Caenorhabditis elegans: one gene and its partner. The protein of the gene in region 1 purifies or fractionates together with the protein of each later gene. This does not show direct contact. Each region holds a gene or a part of one and is shown in the gene's direction. Other genes may lie near its edges. The genes, in order: prx-19 and ndub-6.

Region 1 (4,624 bases):
AAATTCCGGGAGACGTTCGCAAGCGGAACAGGCGAAAATTTGATTGCGCAATCATTAAACGACATAGTCGGCACAAGGATAACGAGTACAATCAAATTTTACATGCAACAAGAAATCTTATACACAGAGACACCCTTAAATTGGGTTAAGGACCCAGAGATGGGCGGTCCCTAGGAATGTTCGTTTTGAAAAGAATGACAATTAGCAGATTGTGTAGAGAGAGAGAGAGCAAGTGTAGAAGAAGACGAGAAAGACTATGGTGCTACTCAAAGAGATAAAATCAAAAAGTGAAGAAGAAGTGGGAGAAAAGGACACACCCTCTCGGGAATTCACATGGGCGCCCTCCTCCGCCCTTTTCTTGGTTTGAAAGAGCATATGGTGAATGAGATATTGATATACAACCAGATAATGAAGATTTGTTTGAACTTCGAATTATAGTAATCTGAATTTTCAGTTAAAACTTTGGGAAAAGTTTATCCTAATGTAATTTTTTCAATGTTGTTATGGGGACTTAAAATATGCGTATTTTGAAATATGAGTGTAATCTCCAACGCCAAATGGGTCTTGTTAGGTATTGGTGTTTTAACAATTTGTTTCAAGATAAAACGTGAATGAAGTGTAACATAAAATAATTAGAATAACAAAAAAATTTGGCCCATGATCCGAGGGTACATCGGAATAGGGTACATCGAGCGATTTTTCGTTCTTGGGGTACATTCGAGCAAAGGGTACAATCATTCTTAGGGTACATCCACCTGTTTGTTCAGAGGGTACATCCATGGGATTTTCATAGGGTACATCGGCACTATGTTCCAAGGGTACATCCAATTTTCAAGGGGTTCAACGGAAATTTATAACTGAAATTTCTTAGAGTTGTGATTTCTCATAATCATTTTCGCATATTATCGACTTTTTTTCGGTTTTTTTACTGTCGATATTGAAAAATTCGGAATTAAACCATTGTTTTGTTTCTTGATTTCAATTTTATGAATTACAAAACAATGGTTTAATTCGAATTTTTCAATACGGCAGTTAAAAAAAGAAAAAAAGTGATAATATGCAAAAATGATTATGAGAAATCACAACTCTAAGAAATTTCAGTTATAAATTTCCGTTGAACCCCTTGAAAATTGGATGTACCCTTGGAACATAGTGCCGATGTACCCTATGAAAATCCCATGGATGTACCCTCTGAACAAACCGTTGGATGTACCCTAAGAATGATTGTACCCTTTGCTCGAATGTACCCCGAGAACAAATGTACCCTCAATTCGATGTACCCTTGGATCATGGGCCAAAAAATTTAGAAAACTGCCAGAAATGCTTAAAAAATTGGCAAAATAATTGAAAACGTTTTTATTCTCGGTTTTGCCGCCAAAACCTAATGAGACCCAAACTATATGGGCGGAGCGTTCTTATTTGCCTGAAAATATGGTAAATCTTTTGATTAACTATACCACACGTCGTCAACGTATGAACTCCTTCATATATTTTTCAACAACCCCAACATATGTGTATTACACTAGATTTGTGTAAATCTCCTACCGAGAAGCAGTTGTCCTTTTGCAAACAACTGATTGCGCAGCGGTTTAAACAAGAAACGACGAGCAGGCATTCGAATTTGAACTACCGCCAACAACTGTCGCAAGCGCGCTCCGTAGATAAAAACTTTTCCGTGATGTAATTTGTGAACGAAACTAGAATTTTTCAGCGCTTTTATTTAATTTTCAGTATATTTTTGAATTTAAGTTGATTTTATTGATTTTTAAAGTAATTTTATGACAGAAAAAGAATGTCATTCGATTTTTAAGTAGCTTACTATGGATCCCACCGAAATCTGAAAACATTGCGACCTTGCCATTCGATTTTTTTAATAATCATAGCAATTTTAACATATGATCCTTATCGATAAATCTGAACACATAAATAGTACACTGTACCCATTTGTTTTTATTTGATAAGAACACAACCTCCCGTGTGTTCACCGATTGTGTGTTTTATCGATCCAAAAGTACCCCCGCATTTCTCCTTTTCACTTATTTCCCCCTTTTCTTCTCACCGCCTCACTCTTTCGACTTTTTATTTTGCCTCTTTTTCAGAAAAAGATGACTGACGAAACAACCCAAAATATTAAAGACAAAACAGAGGAAGAGCTTGCCGCTTTGCTTGATCAAACTTTGGGAGAATTCACGGCGACACCAGCGTAAGTTTTAAATGTTTTTTAAGCCTAAAGTAAAAAAGTTTTAGTTTCTCATCCGTTTTATTTTTCAGACCAAAACCACGTACAACAGATGATGAACTCGATGAACTGATGGCTTCAGCTGATCAAGAAGCTGCACAAAAAGCTGCGAAAGACTTCCAGAAAATGCTCGAACAAATGGTGACTCTGCAAGAAGAAGCCATGAAAAAAGCTGGAGCAGATCCATCAGAAGGAGAAGGAGAACAGCCACTTGATCCAAATGATCCAGAAGCTCTTGCAATGATGGATGCATTAAAACAACTTATGGAATGCTCATCAAATGTTGCAAATGCTAGCAACCCAGAAGAATTTATGGCTGGTCTTGATATGTTACGTTCTCCAAATTCTCCAATGGAGCCATTTATGAGCATGATTATGCAAACTCTAGCTTCAAAAGAAGTCATGTATCCCCCACTTAAAGAAATTTTCGATAACTATCCAAAGTATTTGGAGGATAACGGTGCTGGTTTAGATGCTGAAACAAAGGAACGATATGAGAAACAATTCGAGGTTATTTTCTCACATTTGCAACAAAAATATAGAAAAAGCCAAATTATTTTTGTATTCTCGCACGACGAAAAATGACCAATTTCGAAATGTTCGTGTTTTCCGGCTATATTTATTGGTTTTCTTTCTATTTATTGACTTGAAACACAATTTCTCAAATTTTTCGACGAATTCTTTGAAACAAAAACCGAAAAATATTTAAAATACAAATCTATAATTAAGCATTATTTTCAACTGTTGCAGAAAATTTCTGAAATGTTGAAAAAAAATTATTTCAATTCAATAGTTAAAGAAAAACCTAACTCAAAATATTCAAAAATATGATTTTGTGCGGGAATTCAAAAATAATTCAGCTATTCGAAATTTTAGTGCAAAAACGTAAAAAAAATATATGTATTTTTAAATTTTTTTTTTGCCCAAATGACAAACAATAGTGTCACTTTACTCAATGTTTTTTTTTTCTTTAAAAAAAAATTTTCTAAAAAAATTTTTTTTCTAAAAGCTGTGAACAAGTAATATTTCTCCCAAAATTTACTATTTTTCAGGTTCTTGGAAAAATCTGCACAGAATTCGAAAAACAACCAGAATTGGCCGAAGTTCAACCTGTAGACGCAGCCACTCAACCTGCTCCCGAAGCGGATCCAGCATCTATCGAACATTTTGAGAAGCTTGGAAAGTTGCTCGTCGAGCTCCAACAATACGGATATCCACCAAAAGAACTTGTTGGAGCACTTCCAGATGGATGGCAAATTGATGAGTCTGGTCTTCCGAAAGTTGCCGATGCTGCAGCAGCAACTGAAGCGTGCTCAATTATGTGAATACTATTAACTATGTTGTTATATCAAATTGAAGCCAAAGAAATAGAATTTTAGAAAAAATAAACTTTTGTGTTTAAAAAACATAACTGTTTCCCATCAACTCTTCAATATGATAATCCCTGAATAGAAATGTCTCTTCCCCAGTGTAGCAATAAGTGTCCTCAGTTATTTTCCACATTTTCTAAGTCAGTTACTAGTTTGGTTTTTTTTTGTTTTTTTTGTTATGCTTCAACGAATAGATTTTTCTTTTAAAGTTCGCTTTTCAAGTGTGTGGCCAAATTATTTTCCAAATTACAGTCTTTTCCTTATATCCAAACATGTTTCAAATCAATAAAGATTTATGAATTTGAATTCCCTTTGAACACTTGATGATCACAATTAACTGTAATTGATATTTTTCAGAATCAGAAATTTATCTATCATTAATGAGACTACAAATATCATATTTTTAGAAAATAAATTTGCTTTCAATTAAATATTTCAGATGTCTGGACACTCATATGCTTCTGTAGTCGATCGAATTTATTCAAGAAAAAGTTCGGAACTTTATGATAATATTGCATATCTTCATCATCCAAGTGGTGTCACCGTTGTCGTTCTTCGAAATGTGAGATTTTTCTGAAAGGCACACTTAAAGGCGCATACAGATCTCACCCCGGAAAAATTCGGCGAAAAATTTGAATATTCTATTAAAACAGGCCTGGTGCGGTTTGATACATGCCGATTTACTAAGATTTGCGAACTACATACGGAAAAGTGTGAATTTATCTGTTTTGCAAAAAATACATTTTATAAAGAAAATTTTTTTATTATATGTATAGAAAACAATTCAAAATGTTTAGATTCCTGAAAGTGAAGTTGTCGAAGTGGATTTTGGAACGACGAAGAAGCACGGCGCAGATCGTTCAACAAATCAAGTTTCTGGAAAAGGAAAAAAAGTGGGTAAAACAAAATTAATTTGAAAATAAAATAGTATTAAAAATGATTTCAGGGAGCTCTTATTCTACAACCCGACTCAAAATTGTGTACATTCAAATGCAAAGATGGTTCAGAGCATGTC
Region 2 (3,369 bases), on another chromosome or scaffold:
TTAAAGCTATGGGGAATCAAGTTTAATATTCAATTGGCGGATTTTTTCGAAGAATTTCCAGTGACGATCCTTTAGGAAGATCACCAACTTTCTCTCCCAATTGATACATCCGTGTCTGAACTTCGTCAGTGATGATTTTTCGCATTTGTTCAGTGGTCAGTGACTTTGATAGAACTGTTTTCTTGAGATCAGACAGGAAAAATGGCTCTCCGATGTGAACTGTTACGGTCTGAAACGGAAAAAAATGAATAATTTCACTACGTTTTTTGCAGATTTTATATTTTTACGTCTAAATTTGATTATTGAACTTGAAAAATCTTCCGACTTACATTTCCAAATTTAGGATAGTATGGAGGTTGTGTTGGCCAAACTTTTTCCATCTCTTTACACCATACAGGCAATATTACTGGATCGGTTTTAGCATCCATCACAAGCCTTCCAATTCCCCACTTGAATCGTAGTGGTTCACTTTCAAGAGTACACACTTTTCCTTCTGGAAAGATATGAACCCATTTATTATCATTCAGCATATCCACACAGAAATCCATTCCTTTTTGATAAACTCCTTCTCCACGAACACACGGAACACAACGTCCTAATGAGAACATTCTGAAAAATAAATATGCGACGATTAATTTGAAAAATTCAAGAGAAAAAACTCTTACGTTGTATGGAACTGTTTTGTGAAGCAAATGTTGTGAGCTGCGAGAGTGTATCTATTGCGATCTTTGTATCTCCAAAACTCACGGAATTTCAGAATACCTGAAAATAGAAATTAGGAATGCTATAATAAATCATTCGGCTTACACCACATGAGCGGGTCGTCGATATTTGAGCGATGATTTGAGACTGTGATGAGTGGTTGATTCGGATTTTCCAAAATCTTGACGAATGTCTCTTTGTTGTGGCATATCAACTTATTGGATCCTAAAATGTATCGAATTTAATAATTTTAAACTTTAATTAAAAGACAAACCTCCAAGGAACATAAGTTTGGAAACTGAAGTGACTAAACTCATTGTCATGTATGATTTTATACGGTACAGAAGTGACGGTTTTTTTGGAAAGGGCCATGCAAACCGGAAGCCTTGCACGTCATTTGTTTTATCCCGCATTGTACCCGACATCGTGCTGAAATACTTTTAAAGTTTAGAAAAATCTTTCGAATGGAATAATAAAGTGTTAGAGAACGTGGAAACTATATTAATTTTAATCAGAACAATGCAAGAAAAAAGAAAGAGAAAAGTGCGCCGCGCGCTTGCACCTCGAAACTCCGCCTTCTTTTGCAAGCCGCAACGGGCTTTTTAATAAATGGCAGATCTAAATTTAACTGCAAAATAGTTTGTTTTATTCAAATTTGCTAAAATTTTATTGATTTCGTATGTAATTTATGTTAAATTGTTATATTTCGTTGTCATGTATCATGTTTTTTGTGTGCCCGTTCATTATTATCGATTTTTACTCAGTTTATATTTAAGCAGTCTCACAAATTCATAAAAACGAATTTCAGGCTCAAATGGGTAACCAGTATGTGAAACCAGAACGCACGGGCAATTCCCCTTATACCCGGTCCGGAGTTCCACCACCGGCGCTTGTCAAGACTGGTGACAAGCCTCTTCACAGGTAATTCTTTTAGATTCTGTTCAACAAATTCTATTCAACACAAAAAAATTCAGAGTGAATGACCGCATGTCTCTCGAGCTCCACATGGCCGATGAGCGTGTTCGTGCCGCTGGTTTGAGCCCAGCCGAAAGAGAATGGAGAAAGAAGTGGGTTCATGTGAGTTTTTACATTTTTTGTCAATTGTTAATACTAAAATGTTTATGTTTAGGACCAGCACCTTCACGCTGACGAGCCAGTCGTTGTCGATGCCGTTCATCGTCAGTTGAACCCAATCAGAACCGCTTACAGACTTCCATGGGACAAGTTCTATCTTCATTACCTCAAGGTGAGATATATTTTCTTTAAAAAAATCAATTTTTTAATTTGAATTTCTCATTTATTGCATTTCAGCCAACATTCGGAGTTTACTATGGAACCGCTATCAGAGTTACAGCTCCAAAATTGCTCATGGCTTTCGTCGTTGTGCAGACTGCCTATTATTATTGGAAATACGAAGTCAAGGTATTCAATTTTTTGAATTTTATATTAATTTCACGAACCATTATCTTTTCAAGGACTGGACACATTTGAGAGGACTTGAATCGATGCCACAAAAAGAAGTTATTGCTAGTGCTCCAGCAATTGAAGAGAAATTCCCTGGACTCATGGATAAGGGACTCGCCAACCCATCCAAGGATGACTACTACACGTGAGTTAAACAATAATTTGTGGAATATTGGAAAATTGAAACTTTTCAGACCAACATTTAATAAGCGTACTGCTTACCTCGATGTTGGAGAGACAAAACGACCGTGGTAATCGAAAGGAAACGAGTGACAATCAGTCATTCGAATATGTACTTTTAGGGTGTTGTAGACGAATTTTTAAAGTTTTTTCTTTGTTTTTGACCCTACCGTAAATAAAAAATTTCATGAATGATTTATTTAACCAACTTTCTAGGTTTTATTCATAAAAAACAAGTTGAGATTATAAAAAAATAGGAGAACAACGAGATGGTGCTGCGGAAATACCTGAAGAAGGAAAATAACAAAGAACAACAAAGTATTAAGAGGTATTTTAAGGAAAGAACACTAGTGGATAAAGATACTACAGAGGAAACCTTGAAGGTTATGAAAGAATTTACGTTAGGGAATTAATATTGCTAATGATGAGGTTGATGGGAATAAAATAAGGAGGAATAAGAAGTTTAGGCCGTGACGACCATCTTGATGACCATTGTGAAGATCAGACCAGAGACAATTCCAGAGATGAGGAAGAATCCGGCCATCATTCCAGCGACCTGAGCCTTCGATGGATCAACAGTCTTCGAGGTGTACATCATGGCGAGTCCCGAGAAATATCCACTTCCAAAGCTCATCGAGGCGGCGATAATGACGAAAAGCCAGGTGGATTCGAAAAAGACGGGAAGTGAACGGGTCTCAGGGAGATAGTTGCAGAAGATGAAGAATGGAATATAGAGGAGACGGAGGTAGACTGGAATCCAGAGCTTGTTCGGCGCAGGCTGAAATAAATATTGATATATTAGATTATTCTAATTTATTCAAGTTTACGGTATTCCTTCAATCAGATTTTGCCAAAATCTCAAAAAATAAAAACATACCCATTGCTTTCTTCCGGCGACAATTGATCCAATAAAAGCGAACACGTTGAATTGAAGGAATGTGGTCACATCCATGAAGTATTTTTCTGAAAATTCACGGTTATGTATTTCAAGAGAATTGATGAAAAACTGACGTGGCAATGGGA

Evidence for each region.
Region 2: the proteins of prx-19 (region 1) and ndub-6 fractionate together in Caenorhabditis elegans (co-fractionation; one large-scale study listed by BioGRID). This does not show direct contact.

What each region holds. Positions count from the first base shown.
Region 1 is NC_003281.10:8,806,771-8,811,394, reverse strand, and holds prx-19 (Putative peroxisomal biogenesis factor 19), read left to right. Parts: upstream 1-2,099; 5' UTR 2,100-2,105; coding exon 2,106-2,203; intron 2,204-2,271; coding exon 2,272-2,749; intron 2,750-3,291; coding exon 3,292-3,564; 3' UTR 3,565-3,913; downstream 3,914-4,624. Other genes in the region: F54F2.7 (uncharacterized protein), read left to right, coding at 4,049-4,171, 4,407-4,502, 4,556-4,624.
Region 2 is NC_003282.8:11,650,893-11,654,261, forward strand, and holds ndub-6 (NADH dehydrogenase [ubiquinone] 1 beta subcomplex subunit 6), read left to right. Parts: upstream 1-1,510; 5' UTR 1,511-1,516; coding exon 1,517-1,623; intron 1,624-1,676; coding exon 1,677-1,779; intron 1,780-1,831; coding exon 1,832-1,948; intron 1,949-2,013; coding exon 2,014-2,124; intron 2,125-2,177; coding exon 2,178-2,311; intron 2,312-2,360; coding exon 2,361-2,421; 3' UTR 2,422-2,540; downstream 2,541-3,369. Other genes in the region: acl-3 (Tafazzin family protein), read right to left, coding at 23-229, 330-609, 666-762, 808-927, 977-1,127; ent-1 (Equilibrative nucleoside transporter 3), read right to left, coding at 2,810-3,124, 3,224-3,309, 3,358-3,369.